2 linked regions of the Elephas maximus indicus genome follow. The protein of the gene in region 1 binds, or shares a complex with, the protein of each later gene. Links are inferred from orthologs where the notes say so. Each region holds a gene or a part of one and is shown in the gene's direction. Other genes may lie near its edges. The genes, in order: IZUMO1 and IZUMO1R.

Evidence for each region.
Region 2: the proteins of IZUMO1 (region 1) and IZUMO1R are in contact, whole or in part, in a crystal structure (PDB 5JKC), measured with the Homo sapiens proteins. The link is inferred for Elephas maximus indicus from reciprocal best matches to the Homo sapiens genes IZUMO1 and IZUMO1R. Residues at the interface, in NP_872381.2 of Homo sapiens: Met75, Val77, Tyr134, Val141, Leu146, Trp148, Lys150, Asn151, Lys153, Glu155, Val156, His157, Ala158, Arg160, Lys161, Ser162, Tyr163, Asn239, Ser240, Ser241, Pro242, Ile245; in NP_001186135.1 of Homo sapiens: Lys42, Tyr44, Glu45, Ile48, Leu58, Trp62, His65, Leu66, Asp67, Gly80, Leu81, Leu82, Met83, Pro84, Gly85, Arg87, Ile91, Met145, Ser146, Tyr147, Gln171.

Annotation. Positions count from the first base shown.
Region 1 is NC_064829.1:99,130,480-99,145,508, reverse strand, and holds IZUMO1 (izumo sperm-egg fusion protein 1), read left to right. Parts: upstream 1-7,380; 5' UTR 7,381-9,405; coding exon 9,406-9,640; intron 9,641-10,571; coding exon 10,572-10,646; intron 10,647-11,263; coding exon 11,264-11,350; intron 11,351-11,637; coding exon 11,638-11,658; intron 11,659-12,185; coding exon 12,186-12,266; intron 12,267-12,428; coding exon 12,429-12,529; intron 12,530-12,760; coding exon 12,761-12,914; intron 12,915-13,196; coding exon 13,197-13,362; intron 13,363-13,632; coding exon 13,633-13,672; 3' UTR 13,673-13,755; downstream 13,756-15,029. Other genes in the region: FGF21 (fibroblast growth factor 21), read right to left, coding at 1-159, 838-941, 1,245-1,479; FUT1 (galactoside alpha-(1,2)-fucosyltransferase 1), read left to right, coding at 4,189-4,222, 4,705-5,795; RASIP1 (ras-interacting protein 1), read left to right, coding at 14,400-14,536. UniProt on the Homo sapiens protein: Essential sperm cell-surface protein required for fertilization by acting as a ligand for IZUMO1R/JUNO receptor on egg.
Region 2 is NC_064825.1:26,704,326-26,720,195, reverse strand, and holds IZUMO1R (sperm-egg fusion protein Juno), read left to right. Parts: upstream 1-9,363; 5' UTR 9,364-9,401; intron 9,402-10,908; 5' UTR 10,909-10,911; coding exon 10,912-11,049; intron 11,050-12,357; coding exon 12,358-12,546; intron 12,547-13,044; coding exon 13,045-13,180; intron 13,181-13,344; coding exon 13,345-13,613; downstream 13,614-15,870. UniProt on the Homo sapiens protein: Receptor for IZUMO1 present at the cell surface of oocytes (oolemma), which is essential for species-specific gamete recognition and fertilization.

The DNA of each region.
Region 1 (15,029 bases):
TGGCAGGAAGCGGGCTGGTACCCGGGATGCTGGGTCCCTATATGGGGAGTTGTGGGAGGGCAGGCGGATTGGGAGTCCATGGGCCTCGGACCGGTAAACATTGTATCCATCTTCAAGAAGCAGCTCCCGGAAGCTGCAGGCCGCTGGGTCGAAATGGAGCTGGGGGGACAAATAACAGGGATCAGAGACAACGTGATTCCTCGATACCCTCCTGCCGCGAGACCCAGGATTCCTGGCCCCCAGCCCCCTCTTCTCTCAGACGCAGGAGTCCCCAAACCCAGCCCCTCCTCCTTCAAACCAAGGAGTCCCCAAATCCAACCCTTTCCTCTCAGAAACAAAACAACAAAAACAGATTTCTCTGATACCCTAGGGCAGTCTTGCAAGGCCCAAATCCCTCTACCCACTTCACAGAGAAGAATGTTCCAGCCCAGGTTCCAGTCAGGGCTCCATGAGGCCAGGCAGGGGGCCTGGCCACCACCCAAGATCACACGGTCACTTCATGGGCCATGAGACTCCTGAGTGTCCCTGCATCAGGCATAAGCCAGGCACACAGGAGCCCATGTGGTCAGGAGCATGGGTCACAGAGTCACAAGACTTGGCCTCTCAGGCCACTCGGCCATTCACCTGCCTCATGGGTTGGGGGCAGTGAGGTCCCTGCCTGAGCCTCAGTGTCTTCATCTTGCAAACGCTGATCACAACAGTTCCCACCTCCGGGGGTACCAGTGAGGTTGGGGGACGTAGAGAGCACAGAACTCAGCCTGGGCCAGGCAGAAGTGCCAGACATGTCATCCCAGAGTGTGATGGCAGTTTGCGGGAGGAGGGGGCTCTGAAACTTACCGATCCGTACAGCACCCCATCAGGCCCCTGGCACAGGAACCGGGATGTCTTGACCCCCAAGATCTGAATTATTCCAGGCTTCAAAGCTTTCAGCTCCAAGAGACCTGATAAGAGAAAGCAGTCAGGGGCTCAGAGGACATTTCCCAGCCGCCTCCTCCCTTAGATCCAGGAGTCACAAAACCCGGGCCCCTCCTCCCTCAGACCCTGGAATCCAGGCCCCCAGCACCCTCCTTCTTCAGACTCTGGTGTACAAGCCTCCAGCCCCCTTCTCCCTCAGAACAGGGAGTTCAGGTCCCTGGCCCCTTCCTCCCTCAGGCCCAGGAATTGGGGTCCCCGACTCCTTCTTCCCAAGACCCTGGGCTCTGTCCCAGCCCCCACGGTAGGACCAGACCCTGCCTTGCACTCACTCTCAGGGCTCCGGTGGGCGGCTCCCGCCACTGTGCCATCTGCTCTGATCTCCAGGTGGGCCTCGGTCTCCTGGGCATCATCTGTGTAGAGGTAACGTTGCCGGACCTGGCCCCCGAATTGGAGGAGGGGGCTGGAGTCAGGGATGGGGTGTCCCTGGCAGGCCCCCAGCAGAAGGACAGCCATCACAGGGACCCACAGTCCTGGGTGCTCCAACCCAAACTTGGCCCAGTCCATCAACAGCTCAGGTCCTCTGGCGAGGTCTGGGGTCTGAGATTTGAGGAGCTGAATGGTCTAGACTGGGTTCCAGAGCCTGGTGGTCTGGAAGAGCAGGTTTAAGGATTGCTGCTTGGGTACCCTGAATGCCTGGGTTCTCTTGCTCATGGACTCCCAGCCAACAGGACACCCAGTGTTTTGGGAAGGATGCAGAAGCCCCAGAATTTATATCCAGACAGACCCGCCCAATCACCCTCCCCAAGCCTGACCCATGATATTTGACCTACTTGGCAGGAGCCAGAATTCCACTGTGGCCAGGTCAGCCTGAATGGATGATGTAATCTGGGGGTCCTTCCAGCTGGGGGCCTAGACTCCTGGGTCTGGGGGAAGAGGAGGAAAGAGAACCTGATCACCATGACTTAGAATGAAAAGGGCTGGGGGCTAAGATTCCTGGGGCTGGGGCAGTTGGGGCTGGGGTCAGTACTCCTGGGTTGGAGGGAGGAGAGAGCTGGGGGCCTGGATTCCTGGATCTTGAGGCAGGAGGGGCTGGGGCCCAGACTCCAGGGTCTGTGGGAGGAGGTGGTGGGATCCAGGTCTCCTGGGTTTAAATGAGGAGGAATGGTGGTACCAGGACTTCTGGGTCTGAGGGAGGAGGGGGCTAGGATGCTATAAAACCCCCTCCCAGACTGGCTGAGGCAGATTTTGTTCCCCAACTGGAATTTCTCCATCCCATTTAGATGTCTAGGTTTCTGGGGGTAGGGCGGGAGGGATCTGACAACGAGGCTCTTTGATCTTCTGAAAACAAAAACTGCCACATGAAAGAAGAGTTTTCAGAAGGGCTGGGTTGTCCAGGCCTCTCAACCTCTCCCTGGGCTGGTGCCAACCTGCACCTCACCAACCCCTGTACAGACTTGGAGACAATGAATGTCCAGCCTCCTCCTCCTCCTCCACCTCTGATGCAATCTTGGTGTTTCTTTCGCCAGAGAAGCTACCCAGAGCTCCAGACAGGTGCTCCCAAAATAGCCGAAGAAGGGAAGGGCTGGCCAGGGTCTGACTCAGGGTTTGTAGCTGAGCCAGACCCAGGAGGGGAAGTTAGATGCTAGAGCTGAAGAGTGGGGTTGGCCAGTTGCCTGGAAGCCCCCAGTAGTGCAGGGTCTGGACTTCGCAGTCTGAAGGAGGATGGACTGGGGACCCAGACTTCTGGGTCTGAGGGAGGAGGGGGCTGGGTGACCCAGACTCCTAGGTCTGAGGGAGGCAGGAGTTGGGGGTCCCTCTCCCCAGCGACTCCTGGGTCTGAAGGAAGAGGGGGCTGAAATCTGGGACTCCTTGGTAGGGGAAGAGTGGTCTGGGAGCTGGAATTATGGTCTGAGGGAGGAAGGGGCCAGGGGCTGGATTACTGGGTCTGAGGGGGCAGGGGGTTGGAGTCCAGACTACTGGGTCCTGGGGTGGAGGAGGTTGGGATCTGGACTCCTGTGTCTCAGGAAGAGGTGGCTTGAGGCCAGGACTCCTTGGGGCCCTGACTCCTGGATCTGAGGGAGGAGGTGGCTGGGGTCCCTGACCCCTGGGTCTGTGGAAGAGGTGGCTTGGGGCCAGGGCTTTTTGGGACACAAACTCCTGGGTCTGAGAGAGGAGGAGTCTGGGGGCCTAGACTCCTGGGTCAAATCTTTGGCAAGTCAAGTCAAATTCTTGCACATTTTGCATCATCTGGAATGACAATGGTCAGGCTGGTCATGCGAGGGGGATGGAGGTATGAGTGGGGGTAGGGGGAGCTAGGGGAGCGGTGTTGACAATGGAAGCAGCCCCAGGTTGGCAGCAGAGGGAGAGGAGAGGCCTTTGTTCACTGCTGCAGCTGCCGGGGCCTCTGCGGGGTGCAGGGAAAAGCATGTTTCCATTCCGCCTTTTGGGAATAGGGCCTCTGGGGTGGCTGGTCTAGAACACAGCAGTTCGTTGACACACTCTTGAATCCCAAGAAAGGAAGGGCAGGGGTCTGGGACTTTTGATTTCCTTGTGTGGACCAGATGGGATGGCACATTTGTGGCCCCTCTAAGCACCAGACCACCTGGAAGCTGGAGGCTCTCACACCTGGGTTCCCGGTACTGGGAACAGGCTTTCCATTTGCTCCAGGAGCAGCTCGGCAAACATGTTCTCAGTTCCCCCAGGGAGGACGCAGCAGGGTGAGGAGGATCTTCCCACCTACCTGGACCCAGGTGTCTGGGCTCTGCCACAGTGGTTGGGGCGTGGCTGGGCTGGGTGCATCCAGGTAACGTGGGCACTTGGGAAGCCCAGGCACTAGAGTAGGTAGGAGAGGGCGATGGTCCGAAATGCCCAGGTCCAGAATTGAAGTCGGGCTCCAGCTCTCTGAAGCTACGGAAGGATGTTTGTACCTGGGGGCCAGGTAAGCAGCCCGGGCGGAGACTTCTGACTGGCCGAGGACGCGGGTGGAGAGGGCTGCGGCTGCGAGCTCCCGGCACCCCAAGAGTAGAGGGGGCGGGCGCTGCCACCCTAACCCGGGTCATCCAGGCTGGGCACCAGGAAACGGGGCGGGGCGGCCCCGCCTCGGCGGTACCTGGACAGCGCCGGGGGCGGGGCGGGGGCGGAAGCTCGAACATGAGGCGCGCCCCCTCCTACTCCTCTCCTTCCCAAGCACTAGCTGCTAGTGGAGGGAGGCAGGGCGGAGGGTACGGCTTCTGGGCCTGGGGACCTGGCGTCTGTGATTCCGGAGGTGGCCGGATGTGGGCTGAGTTTGCCGACTCAAGGAGCTCTGGTGAGTGTGCGTTGCGGGAGTCTCCAAGCCAGGAATCCGGCCTTACTCAGGAGCGCGCACTCCCAACCCTTGCCCCCGAGACCCCGGGAGTCCTCCGCCCTCACCTCCGATTCCTCTGGGAGTCAAATTCTTAACGTGGTCCTGGATCTCCAGCCCCTGCTTTCCTTTCTTCCCGGTGATGGACTCAGCCACTCACACAGGTCCACCTGGGAAAGGGGGCTGGTGGAATGGTCTAAACTTCAGGGGACCTTACAGGTAGGGAGCAGGAAACTCCAAGAGGTGGGAAAAGGCTCAGGATCCTGCACCGCTGTTGTTCTGGAAACCGCAATTGTTGCCATCTTCCATTCCTTTTCCCCAAGATCCCAAGTCCCCAGCTTCTCCTCCCTCAGACCCAGGAGTCCCTGCCCCCAGCCCCCTCCACCCTGAGACTCCTACTCAGACTCTGAGCATCTATCTGCTAATTCACTTTTCCTCCCCTGCAGCCATGTGGCCCCCCAGCCATCGTCACCTCTGTCTGGCCTTCCTAGTAGTCTGTGTTCTCTCAGCAATCTCCTTCTTCCTACACATCCACCAAGACCTCTTTCTAAGTGGCCTAGACCTGTCTGTCCTGTGTCCATACCGCTGCCTGGGGACGTCCCCAGTGGCCATCTTCTGCCTCTCGGGCACACCGGTGACCACCAACACCTGCTGTTCCTATCCCCAGCGCCCTGCCTCCCTCTCTGGAACCTGGACCATCTACTCAGATGGCCGGTTTGGTAACCAGATGGGGCAGTATGCCACCCTGCTTGCCCTGGCCCAGCTCAATGGCCGCCAGGCCTTCATCCTGCCTGCTATGCATGCTGCCTTGGCCCCCGTGTTCCGCATCACTCTGCCCACGCTGGCGCCAGAGGTGGACAAGCACACGCCTTGGCGAAAGCTGAAACTCCACGACTGGATGTCCGAGGAGTATGCCCACTTGAAGGACACCCACTTGAAGCTCTTTGGCTTCCCCTGCTCCTGGACCTTCTTCCACCATATCCGGGAACAGATACGCAGCGAGTTCACGCTCCATGAGCACCTTCGGGAGGAGGCCCAGAGAATACTGAGGCCGCTCCGCCTGGGCCGCACTGGGAACCCCCCGCGAACCTTTGTGGGGGTCCACGTGCGTCGTGGGGACTATCTGCAGATCATGCCCCACCACTGGAAGGGTGTGGTGGGTGACCGTGCTTACCTCCAGCAGGCCATGGACTGGTTCCGGGCACGGCATGAGGCCCCCATCTTTGTGGTCACCAGCAACGGCATGGAGTGGTGCCAGGAGAACATTGACACCTCCCAGGGGGACGTAATTTTTGCTGGCAATGGGCAGGAGGGCTCACCAGGGAGGGACTTTGCACTGCTCATGCAGTGCAACCACACCATCATGACCATCGGCACCTTTGGCTTCTGGGCTGCCTACCTGGCTGGAGGAGACACTGTCTACCTTGCTAACTTCACCCTGCCGGACTCCAACTTCCTAAAGATCTTTAAGCCAGAGGCTGCCTTCCTGCCTGAGTGGGTGGGCATTGCCGCAGACCTGTCTCCACTCCAGATGTAGGCAGGGACTTTCTGGAGTATCTTGGTTAATCTAGAGCTGGCAGTATGCATCTCCTGAGACCTGGCAGCTTCTGGAGAAGTGTGTGGTGTTTCTGGAGCACATGGGCACCACACCTTCCCCTACCCAGAGTGATTCTAATTTGCCAGGCTTTGAGATGTGGCAGGGGAGTGGCTTTCTGGAACTGCCGGCACATTCTAGAGCTAACAGAATATTTTTTCCTGACTGCTAGCAATCTCTGGAGCTCGTGACAGTTCTAGTGTCCACCTGCTCTTCTCAGCCCATATCCAAGTACTTCTAGAAGGCTACCTCCCAGGAAGCAGGGCATCCTCTACTGTTAACCATCTTTGTGTTTTCTAGAAAAGGTGGCGTTCCTCCCCTGAGTCCTAGGAGAACTGATGGAATTTGGTCCTTCAGTGGTTGTTCTAGAGCAAGCATGCAACAGCTCTTCTCTTCATGTTTCTGGAATGCTTCTAGAGGGGATTTTACTCTAGAGTGGGTCAGGTATGATGCCTGTGAAGAGCCCTGCAGGGCCCTTCAAGAAAGAATGAGTTCTGGAATTCCAGATAACTTCAAGGAAGAATTTAATGCAAGTACAAGCAGAAGGTTAACATGCCATCACTGCCAGAAAGATTGAGAGTTGGGAGATAAATTCTCTAGCTGGCCAGCAGGAGCCCTGGTGGTGCAGTGGTCAGGGGCTCAGCAGCTAACCAAAAGGTCAGCTCTGTGTGACAAAGATGTGGCAGTCTGCTTCCATAAAAATTACAGCCCTAGAAATCTATGGGGCAGTTCTACTCTGTCCAATAGGGTCACTATGAGTTGAAACCGATGGCAATGGGTTTAGTTTTTCAGTTTTTAGCTGGCCAATTGTTCTGCTCACAGGCTCTGGAAAATATGGAGCAGCTTGTGAGCAGGGCAGGACTCTAACAGGAAATCCACCACGGTTTGGTTTTTTTTTTTAGCAGATGGACACTGGGGAGGAGTAGGTTTGGGTGGGGCATGAAAATGGCTGCTTAAATGATCCAGCTTCAAGAACAGGCCTTTCCAGATATCCAGGGACACTATTTTATTTAAAGCTCAAAAACTACTAAAGGCTGAATGGCATACCTTGGCTCCAAGTTCAGTTTGCCTCTCACAATTAAGGAGGTTTTCTTCTCTGCCGTTGGGCTGCTAGGGATACTGGAACCTGTTTTCTGGGAGTCAGTGGACCATAAACATACTTTCTGGGCTCGCAAAAAGCCACAGGTACTCTCCCCTTGCCAACAAATGTCTGCTGGTGTGAATTCACAGAACTATTAGATTTAACTTTGGGCAAGTTTGGGATGAAAAGATCCAAAGTTATACGTGCTGACGTGGCGCCCAGCCCCAAACTAGGAAGGAGCACACGGTCCGGTCAAGGAGGACGGGATTCTGCACTCAGATTTCTGGAGCACCTTCCTGCATTTTTGGAGGGTGAAGGAATATACCTTTATTTCAGTCAACCTCTGCTCATGTCCCGCATTCACCCATCCAAGAATTCAAGTCCCTTCTTTATCTTATCAGGGAGTTTTGGGGGACCATTCCCAACTCAGCTACCACAGGTGGGAGCGAAGAGATATGAATTAGAAGCCCAGATCACCAACCTCAGTCTGCAGCTTTCTTGGAGGTGTGTGTGTATGTGTGTGTGAGAGAGAGAGAAAGGATGAAGGTTGGGAGCTTCCGGGGACTCTATTACCCACCAAGTCTTGGGGCGTTGCTCCTGCTCAGATCTGGCAGCCTCTGCTGCTAGACTTACATGACTTGCTACTAGTTGTCCCTGTTCTTCTGGTGGCCTATTTCAATGAGGCAGAAAGGCAAGGAGAGAGACTTTCCAGAACTCAGAGGTCTGAGCCCTCAGTTTCTTTTGCCAGAACCCTCGGTATTGGATTCCAAACAACGCTTCCCTCAAGGACCTTGGCATCCAGCCCCACAGACTAGAGAGGGAAGGTGAAGAGTGAGCTGACTACAATTCTTGAACTACATTTCCCATAATGCTGTGAAGTTGGCTGAAATGAAAATACAACCAGAAGGTGAATACACCACCACTGCCAGAAAGATTGAGAACTGGAAAATAAACTCTCTAGCTGCTCGGTTGCTGCCTGGAGAAAGTGACCCCAGGGCCTTCTGGGAGTCGTAGTCCTAGGGCTAGAAACAGCCGCTCCCTGCGTTTTATTAGCTCGACGCCAAGGTTTCAAAGAAGGCATGTAGCCGGAAGCCTGGGTCCTGGGGCCAAGGAAGGGGAGATGTCAGGTCCTGGGAAACAGGAGCAAGCAGAGGTCTTCCCCTCGGTAGACGACTAGAAAGCTCTTGCTTGAAAAGACGGTCGCCTCTGTGACGTCATGACGCGATAGGCGAGACCCATCTTTGTTGTGGTCCAATCAGGTTCAGAGTTGGGCTTCTGGGCGGGGCCCAGATATCTTGGGAATTCCGGATCCCGACGTGGAAAGTAAACTGGAGGCCGCGGGAGCTACTTGTAGAGAAGCGCGACCCGTGACTCAGACCCCAATCGAAAAGCCCCAGATACCACGCACCCTCACCCTCACCTCTGACAAAATCCTTCATTTTAGTCGTGGGAAAATAATAGAAGGACGTGGCCCGGGATTCTCTAAAAGTCCTCGGAACCTGGACTTGGCTTTTCAGCGAACCGTAGTGTTGGCGGGCATAACAGGGACCCAAGGTCAGGCAGCGGCTTTTGAGGGTGCATGGGAATTCTTCACTTCCTAAGAATAAGGGTGCCCCCGCAAGTTGGGGGTCCCTTACTCTTGGAGAAGGGTGGACAAGGGCCCCCTGGGTTTGGAAGACCGTTTGTTGGGTGATCAGGTTTTGGGGGCTTGGGGTGCATTTAATTTGAGGGAATTTTGAATTTGATAATATCCTGGTTGGTTTTATATTGGCTGGTTTATTTGGTTTGGACGGTGAGTTTTCAGCCGGAGGTGCAACAGGCTTTGGAGGTTTGGGAGGCTCTCAGTGTTGATCCAAGGAGCTCTAGTGGCGCTAACAGTTAAGCGCTTGGCAGCAGACCAGAAGGTTGGCGGTTTGAACCCACCTAGCAGCTCCGCGGGAGAAAGGCCTGGCAATATGCTTTCATAAAGATTATAGCCAAGAAAACCCTATGGGGCAGTTCTAGTCTGTCACATGAGGTCGCCATGAATCTAGTCGGTTCTACTGCAGGTAACAACAACAACCACAGCAATGTCCATCGACTTAATGTTGGAGGTTCAGGATGACATCAGTTTGAGGAGTTGGTGGTCTCTGGTGTGGGTATTGGGAAAGACTGCATGGGATGGGGGTTCTTCAGTTTGAGGACTGGTGAGTACCTCTTGTTTAATAGGTCTCTCATTTGAGAGTCAATGAGGACCCTAAATTTGGGGACCCCTGGATTGACGATTCAATCATATTCCCCACTTTGGAGGTATCTGATGAATATCATCTGTTCTGCAGTTTGGGGACTCCATGGATAAGGGGCTCAGTGGGGTGTACTGAAATGTGTTTTGGCCTTTTTCCATTTAGCGTTTGCCTCTTCGGTTTTCAGTGAGAGGACCCTCCCTGGGGCGAGAGGGAGGGGGGTCTACGCGGATCACGCTCTCAGGCCACAATGGGACCACAGTGCCCCCTACTGGTGGTGGCCCTGGCCAGTTGCCTGCTTCCTGCCCCTGGCTGTATCATCTGTGAGCCCTCGGTAGTGGCGGGGCTGAAGAGCTTGATGACAGATTACCTGCCTAACCACCTGCCACCGGAGGCTCAGGAAAGCCTGATGAAAAGGGTAGAGGCCGCAGTGCGGGATTTCAAGGAACTGCCGAAGGATGATGAAACCTACATGGGGGCTGTTGGTGAGGGCAGGGAAGAGCACGGACTTCTGGGCCTTGAGGAAGGAAGGGGCTGGAGGCAGGACTGCTGAGTCCAGGGGAGGAAGGGGCTGAGGGAACGGTCTCCATGGGTTCTGGGAATAGGGAAGGCTGGGGTGCAGATTCTGAGGTTCCCTGGGACTAGTAAATACTATGTTCCCTACCCCTTATCCCACAGTTTTATGTGATAAAACTACAACCCCCAGAAGACATGGCAGGGGTGGGGGTGGGGCGAATCCCTTGCCAGGCCTATCACTGCCCAGCAGCCCCACGGGTATTGTAGTTTCTAAGACTAGGAGGCCAGTGAGGTAGTGACACTAGAATCTGGGGTCCTATCTCCCTTCTTGGAAACCCTGGTGGCTTAGTGGTTAAGAGCTATGGCTGCTAACCAAAAGGTCAGCAGTTTGAATCCACCAGGCACTCCTTGGAAACTCTATGGGGCAGTTCTACTCTGTCCTATAGGGTTGCTATGAGTTGGAATCGACTTGACAGCAACAGTTTTGATTTGATTTATCCCCCTCCTCAGAGCCCTGGTGGCGAAGTGGTTAAGAGCTACGGCTGCTAACCAAAAGGTCAGCAGTTCGAATCCACCAGGCGCTCCTTGGAAACTCTATGGGGCAGCTCTACCCTGTCCTATAGGGTCGCTATGAGTTGGAATGGAATCAAGGGTACACAACAACAACATGTCCCTCCTCAAGGAGCCCTGTGGAGCAGTGATTAAGCACTGGGCTGCTGCTAACCAAAAGCCTGGCAGTTCGAAGCCACCACCCACTCCATGGGAGAAAGATGTGGCAGTCTGCTCCCGTAGATTACAGCCTAGGAAACCCTATGGGGCAGTTCTACTCCGTCACATGGGTTCTCTGAATCAGAATCAACTCAACAGCAATGGTTTTCTCAATGGGTATCTCCACCACAGATGAGCCCACACTGCAAAAGGCATCCTGGAGTTTTCTGATGGATCTGAAACGCATCATGGACACTGGGGTAGAAGGTAGATCCTGGGGATGTGGGAGGGTTGGATTCGGGAATCATTCAGGGAAGCGGTGGCTGGTGATGCCTCATGTGGTCAGATCCTGGAATCTGGAGCTAGACTGTCTAGGTTCAAATCCCAGTTTTGCCACTTTCTAGCAGTGTGGCCTTGCTCAAGGAGCTTCAGAGTTTCCTCATCTCTACAATCGAGACCATAGCAACAGTGCCTTCATCAGTCAGTTGCTGTGAAGATGAAATGGATTAATACATGTGTGTTGTGTGGCACAGTGGCCAGCATTATGTTGTTATTGTTAGGTTCTGTCAAGTGGGTTCTGACTCATAAGGACCCAGTGTAACAGAGGAACTGCCCCATAGGGTTTTCTAGCCTATAATCTTACAGGGTCTTTCTCCCGTGGAGCTGCTGGGTGGATTCCAATCACCAACCTTCTGAACAGCAGCAGAGCACTTAACCGTTGCACCACCAGGGCTCCTTGGCATTATATTTCACTTGCTTTCCCTAAGAAGGCAAGAAAGTAGAACGTCAGGTTCTAAAGACAGACGCAAACTTCCTGCACCTTGCATGGGGATAGGAGGAGGAGTGGGGGAGGAGGGACCATTCTGCTTCTTGCTTCTTCCCAGGTGAACTCTTCATAAAAGAGCTATTCTGGATGTTGCACCTGCAAAAGGAGAGCTTTGCCCACCAGTCTGCTCATTTCCTAAGAGAATGTGAGAAAAGATTGCAGTCCCCGACCTTCCACTGTCCCAAGCGTCCCCATCCCTAGCCCCTCAATCCTCTCCTCCCTCAGACCCAGGAGTCCCACTCACTGGATCCTCCTCCCTCAGACCTAGGAGTCCAGGCCCCCAGCCCCCTCCTCCCTCAGACCCAGGAGTCCAGGCACTCAGGCCCTTCCTTCTTCAAACTTAACAGTCCAAGCCCCCAGCTTCTTCCTGCACCCCTACTACCATCCCTTTTTATTTAGAAATCTGACTCTTTTTTTTTCTTTCCGTGGCAGTTTATTGTCCCAATAAATGTGGTGAGTTCGGATTATAAAAGGTAGTCTCCTAACCCCATTCCTGCCCCATGAATACCTAACCTCTCCCTCTCCCATTTTTGAGGCCCGAGTGTTTTTTTCACTCTATATCTGAGTTTCGTGGGTCTCCAGTATCCCTTCTCCACCTTGGACTTCTTGGGGAGTGGGTCGCATTCTCTTTTCACTCTCTTTGGCACCTCATTCCATCTCACTTCCTACTAGGCTGCATCCTAGCCTTGCCCCTTGGCCTGACCTCCCTGGCATCGGACACGTGGCCCCATCCCATCCCTATTCTTTTAGCTCCTGCCTCTTAGCAGATGGAAACCCTGGTGGCATAGAGGTTAAGTGCTATGGCTGCTACCCAAAAGGTCAGCAGTTTGAATCCACCAGCCGCTCCTTGGAAACCCTGTGGGGCAGTTCTACCTTGTCCTATAGGGTCACTATGAGTCAGAATTGACTGGAGGGCAATAGGTTTGGGCTTTTGGGGTTTTCTTAGAAGGTAAATGCAAGCTTTGACCCTGCTCGTTCAGGTTTGATGTTGCAGACTCTCATCTGGTGTAATAACTGCGAGAAGGAGGTTCACGCTTGCCGGAAATCCAAAGATTGTGGGGGTGAGAGAGCTTGACCTAGCGGAGGGGGGATTGGTGAGAGAGGGGTAGGGCCAGTTAAGAGAGTGCCTAGACTACAGGCAGATAACGAGGGGCCAAATGTAAGGCGGTGGGGAAGGCGAAGACCTCGAAGGGGAGAGTCCTGTAGTAACTCCCCATACCCAGAGCGCCAAGTCGAGGTCCAGCAAATGGAAGACATGATCCTGGACTGTGAACTCAACTGGCATCGCGCCTCTCAAGGCCTCACTGATTACAGCTTTTACAGGGTGGGGCCCCCTCAACTCCTGTAAACCTTGAACTCCCCATCCACTGCCCTGCACCTATGATAACCCATGACCATGACCAGGGCCTCCACTGACTCCCTTGGCTCCATGCCCTTGACCAGTGATAACCTTGGACTCCCTTCTCCCCCACTGAGGCCCCATGATCTCTCACCCCCCCACTCCCCCAACTCCTGAATGTCCCAGGCCTCTGTGACCCCTTGAGCTTGGGTCTAGGTTTGGGAGAACAAGACTGAGACCTTGGTGTCCAAGGGGAAAGAGCCCACCCTGGCCAAGCCCATGGTGGGTCCAGAAGATGCAGGCACCTACCGCTGCGAGCTGGGCACTGTGAAAAAGAGCCCAGCCACAATCATCCATTTTCGCGTCAAAGGTCAGTGCTGTTAGGTTGAGAATAGTGCAGAATTCAGGGCCCTGGATGTTGGGGTCCACTTCCAGGGAGGGACTTCAGGCTATGGGGGCGGGACTTCTGCCCAAGGCGTGGCCTCTGGCCACATGGGCAAGATTTCCTTCTGCGTGTGGTGAGGTTTCCTGCAGTTTGAGGTGTGACTATCTCGTGGAAGGCAACGGGGCTGGGGAAGGGTTGAGGGTGTTGCTTTTTTCAAGTGAGGCCTTCACACCCTTCCCGGATTGCTCTTCCCCCCTCTTCCATCAGTTTTGCCCAGAAGAATCCAGGAGGAAGCACTGCCACAGACCACCACAGCTCCGGGTGTGATAACCACAATCCATCAACCGCCCTATCCCGACAAGATGCTGAAACGCCATCTCATATGGCTGCTGATCTCGGGCATTGCAGTGGTGACAGCCGGCACTGCGACCGTGTGAGCCGCCTGCTGAAGGAGGCGGGGCTTGGAGTGAGGGGCGGGGCTTCCCGCCACCTGGAGCAGGAGGGAGTCTAGGAGCCACTGAGTACTGAGAGCAACACTTCAACTGGGGTGGGGCTTAGATAAAAGGGTGGGGCTTACTTAGAAGAGGGGGTACTTGGGAGAGAGAGCCTTGGGTGATTGCTAGAATACAGTCATGTTGAGGGGCTGGGAGGGGTACCCTCACTCAAGACCTAACCTGGTTCCACTATTTGCATAATATCCCAGGATATTTTTCCTTCGACCTCGGAAGGAACGGGATTCCTAAAAGCCCTCCCGGTTCCCCTTTGGCAAGGGACCTGCACAACACCCTCAGGTTCCAAATCAAAAGATCACGGTCTCAAAGAAACAATAAAGATTTATTTTGTTGTCCAAGTATCTGACTCACTCCTCCAGACTGCTCCTAACTTTTGGTTCCCAGAGAGGAGAGGTCTGAGGATGGTCTCCTGTCTGAGGGAGGAGGGGCTGGGCACCAGGATGCCTGGGTCCTGGAGGGGGGCAACTCTCTGCGATGTCATTCCAGAATCCTTGATGGGGCAGGGCCAGCCCTACCCAGATCTCCTCCCCCAAGCCTGGTCCCCTCACAGGACGCCCCCTCCCCGCTCTTCCTGCCGGGTTTCCTCTTGCCTTTTCCTGTCCCCCACCCAGTGCTGGGAGCTGGGGCATAGGCAAAGGCTGAACCAGAGCAGTGGGATCAGGAACCACGCAGGCCAACGGAGCCAGGGCCCCCGGGTGCTGCCGGACCCGAAGCAGGGTAAGAGCCAGGGACCCAGGAGTCCTGGGTCTCCTCCTTGAAACCCAGGAGTTGGTCTCCTGGCTCCTCCCCTCCCAGAACCCAGGAGTCTGGTCCCCCAGCTCCTTTTCCACCAGGACTCTGAGCCCCCAGCCTCCTCCTCCCTCTGACTCAGTTCAGACCCCCTTCTATCCCATCCTCACCACTCAGGGCCTCAGGAAATGGGGTCTTACCTACCTTCCCTAAACCCTTTGCTAGGGCCATGCTATCTGGTGAGCGGAAGGAGGGCGGAAGCCCTCGCTTTGGGAAACTTCATCTTCCAGTGGGCCTCTGGATCAATTCCCCCAGGAAGCAGCTGGCCAAGCTGGGGCGGCGCTGGCCCAGCGCTGCCTCTGTCAAGTGAGTGCCCACTGTCTCGGGACTCCTGCCCCTGCCGCCTCGGGTAATGTCAGAGACCCCTGAAAGGCTAGCTCTGGTTCCAGGCCTAAATGGGCAAGCAAACAGACGGGCAGGGAGGAGACAAAGCTGGATACAGCCATCATAGGCCGTGTGGGGAAGTGCTGGGCCTAGAGATGGGGGTAGGCCTGATGGACTCAGGGTGGGGACACAGGGACCAGGGACTTGATTCACCCTCCTTCCTCCCCTCCGTGCCCACCTCTTATGAGGCTTGCCTTTATTTATTTTATCTTTCTTTCCCTCTTTGCCTACCATTTCTGTCCACTCTCCATCTCCGTACAACCTGGTCTCTGCATCTTCTGTGGGTTTCTGTTCTCTCCCTGGGCCTCTGTCTCCCTCTGGGCCTTGCCTCCCCTCTGCCCTGTCTCTGTTCCCCTCTCTCCTGGTTCCCTGCCCTCCCCCGCCCCTCTGTCCCTCTCTCTCTGGTTCTCTGTCC
Region 2 (15,870 bases), on another chromosome or scaffold:
TCTTAAAACTTGAAATGGTGTAAGTGCCTAGGAGAAAAACAATTCATGACCACATGTGCCAAGCCTCATGGTTTGTAGAGTTGTGGGGAGTCAGGAAGTTGAGTAAGACAAGACCTTCGAGGCACAGGTCATCTAGTAATGGGTGAGAAGTGAATGAAGAACAGAAAAAACACTTTTTTTTTTTAAGGCAGAAACCCATGAGCTTGGACATCACATATCTATAACACTTATAACTGTAACTATACACAAAAACTGAGGTTTCTCAGAATTTTTCCTGGTGTGTTTCTTGGTAAAAATGAATCATACAGAGAAGCTTTCTTATTAAAAAAAAAAAATCACTTCTTTACTTAACAAATAACTACTGAATGCCTATACTGTTCCAGGCACCACCATTAACACCTGTGAAATGGGCAAACATAGTCTGTCCTGGTCCAGGAGCTTATAGCCTAGTGGAGGACACATATAAGTCATCAGCCAATTCCAGAATAGTGTGGCAAGTGTCATGATTGAGGTGACCCAAAGGCAATGAGGGCACCAGGAGGGACATCTAATCAGATTTCAGCCTCCTTGAGTTTGTGAGGTCTAAATTGAGACTTAAAAAATGGAAGGAGTCAGCAAAATGAAAGTATGGGGTGTGGTGGGGATTGAGGGAAGGGCATCCTATGTAAAAGGGACCAGCATGTGCAAAGCCTGGAGCAAGATTGAGCATGGAGAATTGGACGTATTAAAGACAGCTCAGTTTAGCTGGAGTTTGGGCCTCCTCCCTTTCCCTCAACAAGAATAGGGCAATGGTTACCATTCTAAGGCTCAGGCCAGCTGTGGCTCATATCCCTTGGATGGTGGGCTAGGAGATGTGGGTAGAAGACACACTGAGGCTAAGCGTTATCCTCTGGGCATCCATGGCTGGACTGGACCACTGGACCATATGTATTATAACAATGTAAAATTGTCCCTGTCTAAAAGAACATATATAGGAGTATTCTAAGACCCTCTGAAAGCAGCTATGGATAGGTTTGTGTCTGTTCAAACACACTTTCAATTTTAACCACACTAGGCTATCAGGATGGAACATTCAAGGATGGGTGCTGAAAATTGAACTATGAGGAAAACGTACTGTCCATGGATACAGAAAAACTGGGTTCTACTGCAGGTTCAGACTCCTGCAGGTTCTCACACCTGGCATGTCCCATTCATTCATTTAAACATTTAGAGGCTCTTCTATGCACCATAAACTGTGCTAGGGGCTGGTAACAGAATGAAAAGAGAAATTCCTCACACTTAAGGAATTTAGAATCTAAAGGGGGAGGTAAGCAAGTATATAGAAGATCACAATAATCTGTAATAAATTCAATGCTAAACAGAAGTACAAGAAGCCATGAGAGCCTGCAGGAGAGATCCTAACCCAAGGAAGGTCAAAGGCAGACTTTCCAGAGGTGATGCTGCTAAGTAGAGACCTAAAGGATGAATGGTGGATGAAGAAGCAGGAAAAGATCAGCCCTGCAGAGGGAGCTGCAGGTGCAAAGGTAGAGAGAAGTGGCGCATTTGGAGGAATGGTAACTAGTTCAGGGTGGCTAGTGTGTAGGGTGGGGATGGATAAGGGAGGGAGAAGGGCTTTTGCCATAAATCACAGACAGCTTATGAAGAGCCTTACATGTCATGTTAAAGCATTGCATGAGGTAGGAGAGGGAGAGGAATCCAGGACAACTCCAGGCCTCCAGCCTGGATGACTGGAGGAATGAGGTCCCATTAACCAAAATAGAAAAGCTGAATGAAAGAGTTACTAAGAACAGTTGGGACATAATGAGTGTAAGGTACCTGTGGAAAATCCAAGGGAAATACCACTGGAGGCATATGGATATGCAATTCTAGAGGGTCAGGACTGGACAGAGAGATTTAGGAGCCACACACGTATAGGTGATCACTGAAGTCACAGGAGGGGTAAGATTGCCCAGAGAGGATAAACAATAAGAACAGAAGAGGCCCAAGGACAGAGCTCAAGAAAACACTTAAGTGGCAGATGGAAGAAATGGAGCCTACCAAGGAGGCTAAGAAGGAGCAAATTGAGATGTAGGGAGAAAACCAGAACAGAGCAGAGCCCTGGAAATCAAGGGAGAAGTGAGTTTCAAGAAGGTAGAAGGGAGTACCTTGGTCAAAGGCAACTGAGAGGTCAAGTAGGATATGGATTGACCCTGCCCATTGGATTAAAGAATTGGGAGACTGCTGGTGAATTTGGCAAGATTGGATTCCACAGGATGGTGGTGGGAAGCCAGGCTACAGTGGTTGACAAATGAATGGGAGGTAGTACGGAGGAGCCACAAGGAACATAAATGAGTCTTTGGCTAGGAAGAGAAACAGAGGGACAGGACTGAATCTAGGGTGAAATTTAGCACCAAGGGACAGTTCCAGAGATGGGTGTTGAGAGAATTGAAAGAAAAAATGTTTTGAGAACAGCTACACATTGTAAAACTGCATACAAACCTTAGTTACTTATTATTAACACTATCTGGTAGACCCAGAGGCAGACTGGCTTGAATTTAACAAAGGAACATTAACAACAGGGAAAATTTGTGTTGAAGAGAGGAGTCTCCAACCTGACAAGAAAAATAAGCTGGAGAGTAAAAATTTTTGTTCTTTGTGGCATAGCTTTCTCCGCTGTGTCTAATTCTCAGTTAATCTCTTTCCCTTAGAATTTTGATGCTTTTCTATCAGTCCTTTCATTACTTGGACTCTCTCCAACCCTGAGAGGCTTCCCACTCATCTCCATTGTTGTGATTAGGCCTAAAAAGTGGCCTTCCTCAAGTGGTGATGAAAGGTCCCAGGATTAACAGTCTGAAATCTCACAGAAATCATCAAAAAGTGAAGGTGTTCCAGTCTGAAAGTCTGAGGATGAGGGAGAAAAATTGCAGAGAAAAGAGAGTGGAGAAGAAAGGAAGAGAGAGAGGAAAGAAAGAGAGGAGGGGAGGGGAGGGGAGGGGAGGGGAGGGGAGGGGAGGGGAGGGGAGGGAGGGGAAATAGAAGAGGTCAGTTTAAACTACAACGGAGAAGGAGAGGGGAGAATAGGACAAGTGACTGGAAGAAAAAGGGGAAAAGGAAGGAAGGGGGAAAGGGAAAGGGAGAAGAGAAGGGCAAGTCAGGTTAAACTAGGGAAATGTCTGTATTAAAACAATGTCTTTAAGAAATGCATTTTTTTTTTCCAGGTATTCTTCCTCTTTTACTCAACAAACATTGATTGGATATCTACTCTGGGCCAACCACTGTCTTAACACTGTGAACATTACCGTGTCTATCCCCAAACTGCTTACAGTCGAGAGGTGGGGACAAGCCTGGAAGCAGGCATGCACAATGTCGGGTGGTAAGTGCACTGACAACGGTAAGCACAAGACACTAAGGGACATCTAGCCAGTCCCTGGAGTACCAAGGCAAGCTTCCCTGAGGAGAAACTAGCCCTTCAGAGAGCTGAGGGGTAAATAGGAGCTAGCTAGATGCAAAGGGTAAGCTATGAGAGAAAAGCCCTGGCAGAGGGAGCCATATGTAAGGGAGCAGGGCACTTGCAGACCAGCATGGTAAACAAGTGCCTAGAGTATAGATGAGAGAAAGGACAACAGATTAAGAAAAGTAAATAGGACGAAGACTGAAAAAGGCCTTGTGTTCAGTGCAGCACTATTCACACCAGCAAAAAGGTGGAAACAACCAGAATGTCCATCAATAGATGACTGGATAAACAAAATACAGTATATCCATACAATGGAATATTATGCAGCCGTAAAGGGAAATGAATCCACATGTGTGCTCCAACATGGATGAACCCTGAAAACATTGTAAGTTAGTCGCAAAAGGACAAATACTGTATGATCTCATTTATATGAAACGAGTATATAGAAACTAAAGATTACTAACAGTTACTGGGGTGGGAGGGTGGGGGGGAAAGAAGAATATTTTGTTTGGGGGGCATTGAGTTTACGTTAATGATGGTGGAATATTTTGGAAAAGGAAAGCGATAATGGTGGCACAACATGAAAAACGTAATCAATGCCATTGACTTTAAATATGGAAGTTGTGCTAGCAAAAGTTTTGTTGTACGCATTTTCACCACAAAAAGAAAAAAAAAAAGGTCCTGTGTGCCATGTTAAGGATTTGGGACCTTATCTTAAGGTCCAGAAGTGTTTTAAACACAGGAATATGGTAACCATCTTTACATTTTAAAAAGACCATTCTGAAAAAAAAAAACTAAACGAATATAGAATTCTCATTAATGATATGGATATTTGAATTATTTAGAGGGAAATATGCTTGGGTCTGTAATTTACTTTGAAATGCATTTTTAAAAAGATGGATTGGTGGGTAGATAAAAAATACCTGTTGGCGTTGAGTTGATTCCGACTCACAGTGGCTCTATAGGACAGAGTAGAACTGCCCCACAGGGTTTCCAAGAAGAGCCTGGGGGATTTGAACTGCAGACCTTTTGGTTAGCAGTCGTAGCTCTTAATCACACGCCACCAGGGTTTCCAGATGGATAAAGGGATGGATAAATGGCTAGATATGTGACAAAGAAAATACAGTAAAATGGTAATAATGGTAGAATCTAGGTAGTAGGCATATGGATGTTCATTGTAAAATTCTTTCAACTCTCTGTATTTTGAGAATTTTCATAACAAAATGCTGGGGGTGGGGAACAGATCATTCTGGCTGCTGCTTGAATAAAGATTTGGAAGGGGGAAGTTATGGGGTTGTTGCAGGAATTAAGGCAAGAGATAATCATGACCCAGATCGTAGGGATAGAAAAAGGGGTAACAGAATTTGAATTGAAGAGATATTTAGAAAGTTAAGTCATTCAAACATTTACAGGCTCTTCTATGTAAACTGTGCTAGGGGCTAGTAACACAAAGATAAACAAGTTCCTCACCCTCAAGGAACTCAGAGTCTAAAGGGTGGGGGGGGGGGCAAGCAAATATACAGAAGATTACAATATTCTGTAATAAGTAATGTTAAACAGAAGTACAGGAAGCCATGGGAGCTTTGGTGATTGAATGGATGTACAGGGAAGGAAGAGGGAAGGATAAGATACCTAGGGATACCTGCCCTAGATGCAAACCGATGAAGAGTTTAGGCAAGGATGGTCAATAGATTTCTTGGTGAGAAGGACTCGTAAGAGCCACTAAGAACCAGCTTTACCAGTGTCTCCTCCAGCTGGCCTCTGATGTCAGTCTTGACACAAGTTCTGTGCTCTTTGAGCCTGTTCTTGAACTCAGTGAGCTTCAGCGCTTTGGGTGACCTCATGTATGATGGAAGCCTGGGGATGGGAGTCAGTCACTACTACGCCGCATCTCCTGTAGCGCCAAATCAGAGCTCAGTCTGGACATGAGACACCAGCCCCCCAGCCAAAGAGGCAACACACTAGCCTGCTCCATTCCCTGCTCCTGCACTCCTCGCTGTCCTCTCAGAACGCTCTGAATGTTGTTGGACTGCTTCTCTTGGCAATTTAAGTGTTCTGTTTTTGTTCTGTAAGAATAAAATTGTTTTGGATCAGCTGCTTCAAATGGTTTCATCTACAGCCAGCTTTGGTTTATCAGCTTCCAGGCAGAAAATAGACTTCTTTGGAAGATTCAGTAACAATAAGGCAAAAAAACAAGGTCTCTTCAAGGGCTGTAAACTGCCTCTCTGGGGAGCAGATGCTGGCTGACCACCTGCTCTCTGAAAGGCAACTTGGTAATTCCTTCCTCTCTTCCTCTCTCCCTCCTTCCTTTCATCGGCACCTGTGCTTGCTACAATTTTAGCTCATTTCTGACAGCCTTGTTCTGGAGACCATTAGCAAGTCCCTCCTCATCCTTCTTCTCTCCATATGAAGCCACCTTCAACCTTGTACCAGAGGACCAGTGCTCCATCTCAGTAATGACTTTTGTGATTCATTTCTGGATTTCTGTCCCTGCCACATCCACAGCCACCTTAAACTTAACATTAAAACTAAAATCTCAAGCCTCTTCATTCCTTAGAGCTTCTTGAATATTTGTGGGGGTTTGAACAGAACATGAGAACCTGTTTCTACCCCTGCCAAGTAGACACCCAGGTGAAGAGACCCATGCTACAGAAACTCCATTACCACTGGTGCCTGACCCTGAAGAGGGAACCTCAAGCTCTACTTTAGACAGGGATATGGGAGGCTGGGTTTGTAGCCATCACTTTGTGAATAATGCCAACACTCACTGTTGTATAACTACCACAAGTGGATGGCTTTAACAAAGAGAAATTTATTCTCTCACAGTCTAGGGGGCTATAAGTCCGAATTCAGGGCACTAGCTCCAGGGGAAGTCTTTCTCTCTCTGTCGGCTCTGGGGGAAGGTCCTTGTCATCAATCTTACCCCTGGTCTAGGAGCTTTCCTGTGCAGGGACTCTGGGTCCAATGGACCCACTGCCCTCCTGGTTCTTCATTCCTGGTAGTAGGAGGGCCCCCTCCTCTTTGTTCACGTCTCTCTTTTATATCTCAAGAGAGATTGACTCAAGATACAACTTAATCCTATAGGTTAAGTCCTGCCTCATTAATATAACTGCCTCTAATCCTGCCTCATTGACATCATAGAGGTTAGCATTTACAACACATAGGATAATCACATCAGATCACAAAATGGTGGACAAATACACAGTACTGGGAATCATGGCGTAGCCAAGTTGACACACATTTTTGGGGACACAATCCAATCCATAACACCCAGCCCCAACACACACACACACACACACACACAATCTAATTATGGGATTTAACTTAAAAAAAAAAAAAAATATTTCGTTTGAGACCCAGACAGCCCCTACTCTTTCAGTACTGGAGATGTCTCCATCACCTGGTCCATAAGAGCATCAGATACGGAATCAGGTATACTTGGGTTCTTGAGGCACCAGTGGTTCAATGGTAGAATTCTCGCCTTCCACGTGGAACACCCTGGTTCAACTCCCAGCCAATGTACCCATCTGCCTGTGAAGACTTGCATGTTGCTATGATGCCGAACAGGTTTCAGCAGAGATTCCAGACTAAGACAAATGAGGAAGAAAGGTCTGATGATCTATTTCCAAAAATTAGCCAATAAAAATCTTATGGATCAAATGGTCCTCCCGGCAAGCAATCATGGTGTAATGGATTGAATTTTGTCCCCCCAAAATATATGTCAGCTGGTTAGGCCATGTGTGGTTTTCCTCCATTTTGTGATTTTCCTATGTGTTATAAATCATAATCTCTACCTGTGGCTAAAAGGATTAGGGTGGGATTGTAACACCACCCTTACTCAGGTTACCTCCCTGATCCAATGTAAAGGGGTTTCCCTGGGGTGTGGCCTGCACCACCTTTTATCGCTCAAGAGAGATAAAAGGAAAGGGAAGCAAGGAGAGATTTGGGGACCTCATACCACCAAGAAAGCAGCACCAGGAGTAGAGCGCGTCCTTTGGACCTGGGGTCCCTGCACGTGAGAGGCTCCTTGACCAGGGGAAGATTGAGGTCAAGAACCGTCCTCCAGAGCCAACAGAGAAGCCTTCCCCTGGAGCTGACACTCTGAATTTGGACTTTTAGGCTAATTTACTGTAAGAAAATAAATTCCTCTTTGCTAAAGCCATCCACTTGTGGTATTTCTGTTAGAGCAGCACTGGATAACTAAGACACATGGGTATGGTACAGGACCTGGCAGCATTTCATTCTATTGTACATGGGGTTCCATGAGTTGGGGGCCAACTCAATGGCAGCTAACAATAACTGCACTCAGATTCTAGCTTTGCGACTTGCTAGCTGAGCCTCAGTTTCCTCATAGTTAAATAGGGAGGTTGATCACTGTGCAGTCATTGTAAGGAATAAGCGAGACTGTGTATACACAGCATCACCCCTGTGTCTGGCCCTTGGAAGTACTCAGTACATAGTGGCTGTGATTAGCAAGGAGTGGGAAATGTCATTTTCCAACATGATGATTATTATATGCTTTGCAGGTCAGCTAAGCAGTTGAATAACACAATATATTTGTTTCATTTTCTTCTGTTAAAAAATGCTTTTCAACTCTGTTCTCATTTCCTACATGTTATTAGCAAAACTCCAGTGGCTTCGGCTATTCCTATTTTGGAGGGGAAGCTTGTTACAAGAAACAGGCAAAGCAAGGGGCTCCTTTTCCAGTGTTTTCATGTCTTCGGGACTCTCCTAAGAGTCCTCTCCAAGTTTCACAGACTCTCTTTAGTGGACAAGGATATTTTCATGATTATTACTGCTGAGAGTGCTTGTAGAATATTTCACGGGACAGCGTTCCTGCTCTTGAGGCATTATGCTAAGGAGGCTGTTCTGTGGGTTGCAGAGGGTCTTTTTTTGTTTGTTTGTTTTGGCTTTGGTCATGCATTTAAATTCTTGGATCTTCAAGGCCACATACTTCATCTTCTGTGCTGCTGTGTACTGGTGGGTCTGCTCTCCAGCAGGAAGCTTTGCTCCTGTGAGCCGAGGAGGGTGCTGTTACTCAAACCACTGTATGGCCCACCCCAAGTAACTGAGCTGATGAAGGGGCAAGGACAGCTGCAGGGCTGGGCAGAGAGAGGCTCCAGAAAATAAAAGAATACGAATTTAAACTGGTAAGACTTACTGAGTGCTTGCTCTGTGCCAGACACCACACTAAGTCTTTTTCATGCACCAGGAGCCCTGCTCAGGTTAAGTGCTCAGCTGCTAACCAAAAGGTCGGCAGTTCGAATCCACCTACTGGCTCCATGGGAGAAAGACCTAGTGATCTGCTGTCATAAAGATTATAGTCAAGAAAACCCTATGGGGCAGTTCTACTCTGTCACATGGGGACACTATGTGTTGAAATCGACTCTATGGCACCTAACAACCCACCCACTGCCGTCAAGTTGATTCTGACTCATAGTGACCTTATAGGACAAAGTAGAACTGCCCCATAGGGTTTCCATGGCTGTAAATCTTTATGGAAGCAGACTGCCACATCTTTCTTCAGAACCTAACAACAACAACTCTAACTCCTTCTTCCCAACAACCCCATTGTACTAACCATTTTTACAGATGGTCGAACTGATGTTTAGAGAGTTTAAGTAATTTTCCCAAAGTCATCCAGCTAGTGAGTACCAAAGCTGAAAGCTGAGCTTAGTAACTGATGGAAGAATCCAGAATCTTAACCATTACGGAGTCTCTATTTCTCTGAGGAAGCAAACTCGTTGAGAATCCACCCTGTCCCATCTACAAGAGGCCACACTCTTGGGTAAGACAGATCCTGTTTAATGGAGCCGCCTAGAGTTCTGCTCTGCACCTGGGCCTAGTAGTAACAGGGTTGGGTAATAAAAACAGGTTTGGGTAATAAATGGGCAGGACAGGGTAATTCTCCTAAGTCTCCAAGTCTCTGGCGTGGGAGGGAGCACCTGAAGCATTCACTGCTCTGAAAGTGAGTATGGAGGGAGCACGGAAAGCACCTTCCCTCTTTGGTCCAAGACTAATGTACTTGATTCTTTAAAAATACTCCATAGCTGTTTATGCCCTTGTAACTTGTGCTGTGGACAGAGAGTGACCATAGATTTAGACTTGAGAATGGGCTCTGAAGGTGGAGCCCGGGGGTCTAGAAAAACCTAAGCTAGGCCTAGGATTTTCAGTTTCACTATGCTGGGTCCACTGCAGGCTCCCTCAAGGACTGGAGAACTGGGACAGCCATGGGTCCCCAAGGTCAGTGAAGGCTGAAGGAGCCTGTTCCCTAGTTGCCTTTTAAAAGATAGTGTCCTCCTGGGGCCTGGGTTTTTGAGGCATGGTTCCTCGATTCTGCCCTCTTCTGGGGGGAGGGGGAAGGAGGAAGGGGGGAAGGAGGTCTCTGTTTGTATTCCCTGTCATTACCATCACCATCCAGAACAAGGTTGGAAACACAGAGCTCAAATAAACACCAAGTGAAAGGCTGTCCTCCCCATTCCTGTGATGGGATTGGGCTTTGGAAGTGGAAGACTCCTCTCTCTGACTCAGGCCTGGCCATACTCCCTGGCTCTGAGATGCCAGCAAGGTGGCTGGGAACGTGGGGATCTAGCCTCATGCTTAGATGGATTTGAGATGGGATGAAGCTGGTGGAAGAGGAACGATTTCTATAGTGGAAAGGACTGGCTAGAAGGCCTAGGAACTGGGAAAGGACAAGCTTCTCCAAGGAGCTGTAGGTCTTGCTTGGACTGCTTAGAGGGGCTGGAATTAAGGTTAGCACTTGGTGGGGCAGGACTGGGTTTGTCATGCTACCAAGTCACAGCCTTTGGACCCTGGAGAATCTGATTACAAGGCATTTGTTTGGTTACTTGGCCACCATTTTGAGGTTCATTGCTGGCCAGGACCAAAGCTCTGAATCCTCAGCCCATATATCACTAAGTGGAGTCCCCAGGTGGTGCAAATGGTTAACATGCTCGGCTGCTAACTGAAAGGTTGGAGGTTCAAGTCCAGCCAGAGGTGCCTTGGAAAGGCCTGGTGATCTACTTTTGGAGTAATCAGCCATTGAAAAGGCTATGGAGTGCAGTTCTCCTCTGACACACATGGGATCACCATGAGGCAGGATCGAGTCCATCGCAACTGGTTTATATCACTGAGTTAAAAAGGCTGCCTCCCAGAGAAAAAAGGGCTGGGAAAAATTTTTCCAGTGAAGGCTGTGAACCTTTCTACCCCTGACTGTCACCTTAGGGCTCATCTTTTCCCCTCTCTGGACTTCAGTTTATGCATCTATACAATGGTTGAGGGTGAAGTGTCTAAGGTTTATTCTATCCCAGCCTGACCTTCTGTGATGTGCCTCAGGTCTAGGGGTAACTGGTGTCACCATCACTTGAGGAAACCTTGACCCTATGCTCCCTCCTCAGTGCCTGGTATGGTGGAGGGAGGGGGACAGGGGTGTCCTCCCCATTTTGTGAGCAGAGCAGGTCTCCCGTCTGCAGCAGGCCATGGCATGGTGGTGGCGGCTCCTGCTAGGGATGTGGACGGTCACAACTACGTGGTCTCAGGACAAGCTGCTCAATGTCTGCATGAACACCAAACACCACAAGACAGAGCCCAGCCCAGAAGACAAGCTCTACGAGGAGGTACGAGGTCAGACCTGGCCTAAGGGTGAGAGGGGGACACAAAGGCCACGATGATCTCTGAACCCCCATCAACCCAGGCTTGTCTGGTTCCTTAAGTTGGGATTTGGGCAAAGGCAACTAGAGAGAGACTATGATCAGAGACTGATTACCCAATAAGCAAGGTATGCACAGGCTTACTTGTACTTACTTACTAATCTGTTGTAAGTTCTTTACCACATAAAAGATGTGAAACCCATGTGAAATTATTCACTACAGATTAGTAAGTAAACGCAATTAAGCCATGGATACCTTGCTTACTGGTTAATCTGCCTTGAATGACCCTTGCTGACCATTAAGTCCAGTGATTTAAAGTTCCATCTCTGATGAGAGTGGAGGGACGAGTGTGCTGTCTCATTAGGGGGAGAGCAAGAGTATAGCAAGGTGTTTATAAATTTTTGAATGAGAGTCCGACTTGATTTGCAAACTTTCACTTAAAGCACAAAAAAAATTAAAGTTCCATCTCTGAGCTGTTCCAGCCACACAGGGAGCTGGCTCCAATGGTGATGCCAGAAGCTCATTGTTGGTTCAGCATAGATGAAAACAAACCTTGTCCTCCCTCCTACCAGCAGGCCCTGGGAAAACGTATTTCTGAAGTGACCCCTCCCTCAAGCTCCTGAAGGCAATTAACAGAGATCAAGAAGGAGTTGTAGGGTGAGCAAGATTTTAGTCTGAGTCTTTCTCAGGTGCAGGTACCCTCCCACCAATGCAATCCCAGATTCCCTGGGTCTCGCTGGGCTGCCTCTCTCTACCTGCTTCCCTCCAAAGGCCTCCACCACCTCTCAAGAGCTGAAACCCTGGAAGTCTTGCTTCTAGGCGACAGCAGCAGCCTGTGGCAGAGAGGTCAGCGTGCAGGGCGCCTTCTGCCCTTTGGTGTGAACACTGTCAAATCATCAGGGCTCCTCCAACAATCAAAGGAGCCCTGGTGGCACAACAGTTAAGTGCTCAGCTGCTAACTGAAAGGTTGGTAATTCGAACCCAACCAGCTGCTCAGTGGGAGGAAGACGTAGCAATCTATTCCCATAAAGATTACAGCCTAGGAAACCCCGTGGGGTAGGTCTACTCTGTCATATAGGGTCACTATGAGTCAGAATTGACTCCACGGCACCTAACAACAGCAATAACTTGACAACAGCAATAACTTGACAATCAGGATAGGGGGCTGCTGGCTTAAAGGGATCCCACCAGCCCTGGTCCTCTCCTAAGAGACATTTTTATTCTGCCCCCTTGTGCCCTAGACACTCAGCCCTTTGCTTCTTCCCCCACCTTCAGTGCACTCCCTGGAAGGACAATGCCTGCTGCACAGCCAACACGAGCTGGGAGGCCCACCTGGACATGTCCCTGCTCTACAACTTCAGCTTGACTCATTGTGGGCTGCTGACCCCCAGCTGTCAGAAGCACTTCATCCAGGCCTTCTGCTTCTACGAGTGCTCCCCAAACCTGGGGCCTTGGATTCAACAGGTGGGAAGGCAAGATGGTGGACAGGAAGAAGATGAGTGCAATGCCTGTTACTAAGAGGCTGAGTACCCCGCCCATCTTATGCTGGTGTCTCCAGAAAGCTAGTAGGAGCAGGAGGTGCTGTCCCCCTGTGGACAGAGCAGAGTTAGAGGCCCCCAGGTGGAAAAAGGGTGAAGAGGAAGCTACTTCAGCCCTGGAGAGGCCAGTGGGAGAGACTAGGCCAATGGGAACAATAGGATGAAGGACTGTCACCTGTGGTGGCTTGGTGGAGTTGAATGGACCTGAGTGCAAATTCCATCTCTTATATTTATTAGCTGCGTGATCTGGCACAAACTAACCTCTAGCCTTCATTGTTCTCATTTGTAAAATAACAGTACTTTATAGACTGTGTTGGTAAGAGGTAATGTACAGATGGTACATGGCACAAGTACCACTGTAGCTACTAATAGCCTTCAAACTGCTGCTATTAATGTTCTTGCCTGTTTCTGTGCCTGGACCCAGGTGGACCCGCGTGGGCAGGAAGAGGGCATCGTGGGCGTGCCGCTGTGCTGGGAGGACTGTGAGCAGTGGTGGGATGACTGCCGCTCGTCGTACACATGCAAATCCAACTGGCAGGGCGGCTGGGACTGGAGACGGGGTGAGTGTGCCCAACAGGGCCAGGGGAATGAAGCGGCCCCTGGGAGGTCTCCTACCTGGGGGCAGGTGTAAACCCCCCTTTCCTTCCACGGGCAAATGCTGGGGGTGTGGGAGTAGTGGTGGTGGTGGTAGGAGGGAAATTGTGCAGGCCTCTATCTTCCGCAGGGAAGGTCCGCTGCCCTGCAGGGGCTCACTGCCTCCCTTTCCCCGATTACTTCCCCACCCCGGCTGACCTGTGTGACAAGATTTGGAGCAACTCCTACAAGGCAAGCCCTGAGCGCCGCAGCAGTGGACGGTGTATGCAGAAGTGGTTTGAGCCGGCTCAGGGCAACCCCAATGTGGCTGTGGCCCGCCTCTTCGCCAGCCCTGCCCGGTCCTGGGAACTCTCCTGCCCCCTCCTGGTCTTGTCTCTGTTCTTGTCATTCCATTCCTGAGATCCCCGTTTCCCACGCACACGCACACGCACACGCATGCGCTTCCACCAGCTGTGGGCCAGGCCCTGGCCGCCCCTTCCGCAAGCCACTCCTTAGAAGGGGCAGCACAGGCTGGGGATGGAGAGAGGACATCGGGGCTGCAGGAGCTGGTGCCTGAACCTTACATGTTCCATCTTAGGCCCCACTCCTGCTCTCTTCTGCCTTACTGTGCTGGAGAGGCAGCTAGGGGCTGGATTTCCAAGGGGCTCTGCTTTCTCCTGATTTTAAGAATGGTGGCGGGTGCAGACGTGGGACTCAGGGACCTTCTCGTCCAGTGCATGCCTGTCCTTTTCTGTGGCAGAGCTGATGGGGCAGCCCTGGCCACCTGTCCTATGATGGTGCCTCCAATAAAACGGCAGTTGACCTTTTCTCTCTGTGTGGCCCCCTCTGTCCTAGCTCTGTGTGCAGGGAGCCAAGCTGTACAACAATGGGGCCAGTTGGTTATTACTTACCTAACAATTATTAACTTCAGGGCCCTCTCCTTACATCCACACAACATCTCTGACAAGAATATGTTCAACACTGTTTTTTTCAATAGTGATGCACCATACGAAAGACCCAAGGCCAGAATAAGGGATGGGGGCCACTCAGACCATCATCTCTACTTTGGGTACAAAGATTGAAGCAGCTGCCTAAAATGCTTTCTGGCTTTTCCTGTTTTAATCCTCCCTCCCCTGGTCTGGAATTTTGTAAACCTGAGTTCTAATCTGGCTTTACCGCTTTCAATATGACTTTTGTCAAATCCTTTGACCTTCATTAATGATTGTCTTGGTTTTGTTTTCCCCTTAGAGGAATGGGATAGTTGGGTCAGATGATTTAACTTACAAAAAAAAAAGTCACTGTCACTGTTTGCTTGGAGATAGAAAGTGCTTCTCAGGCAGTGCCACGTCCTCAAGGGTGAGACGCAGAGCTAGAGAGGTGGTGTTGACACTGCCTTCACTTCACGTCTGTAATGCACTGGGCAGCTTATGGCCCTCTTGAACCTTCCAGTGCCTGAAGCGCCACAGCTTCCCACACAACAGGGCCTTGCCCACATTCTTCTGCTTGGACTGAGAGAGCCCCTACTATGGCTGTCCTTGAGATGGCTGACTTTTCTAGCAATTATTCATTCTCTATAGACTCCAGCAAGCCCAGCTTCTCGGTTACCCTTGGCCTCCATTCCTTCTATACTTCCTTGAACATGCTCATTCACTGAACACACCCTGCTCCAGGTGGGGTACTGAAGTTATAAAAGCAAACAAGGTCCTGCCAAGGGAGCTGTTCACAGTCTGGAGTAGGATACAGAGAGAAGCAGTGGGGATGAAGCACTTCGCTGGAAGTCTGTAAGAACAGGGCCTGGGGCCAGGTGGGTGTCTGGAGAAGGCATGGCAGAGGGCCTGAGGCTTGACTCTAGCCTGGATGGAAAGAGGACAGTTCATTAGGCTGTGTGTGAGAACAGGAATGAAATTCTAGGCAAAAAGCAGCAAAATCCCCAAGACATGAAATACTTGCATTAGGACCTTTAATCGCTCTTAAATTGATCAAATAAATTGCAGTTTCAAAAATACATATAGGATGCTTGCTTCAGCAGCACATTACTAAAAGATTAGCATGGCCCCTGTGCAAGAATGACATGTAAATTTGTGAAGTGTTCCATATTTTTTAAGGAAGAATGAAGGGCAACTATGGTAACTACTATAGCTTAGACAGTCCTGCATCACTAATATTAACAATTTACAAATGGATAAATGGGTAGATAGCTACACCAAGAGGTGTGGGAGGATGTAAGGGAACACACCCACCAGCAGATATAGGTTTGATGGTGGATATTTCTACATACATGACTGTAGGCATGGCTCATATAGCACACACAAGGTATATAGTCAGGGAAACCTCTTAGACGTAATCAAACACCTTGCTGGATGAAGTTCCTAGGCTAGAAGATAAAGGACCAGAGACTTGGAGGCCGTCTACATCAACTAGCACAAAGAAGTTCATAAAGACGATATCCTGTATCCTACTTGGTGAGCAGCGTCTGTGGTCTTAAAAGCTTGCAAGCAGCCATCTAAAATGCAATTATTGGTCTCTTCCCATCTGGAGCAAAGAAGATTCTCAAGGGAGCAGTTAGACCAAAGGACTAATGGACCACATGAACCACGGCCCACATGACGCCAAGACCAGAAGAACTAGATGGTACCTGGCTACCTCTACCAACTACCCTGACTGAGATTACAACAGA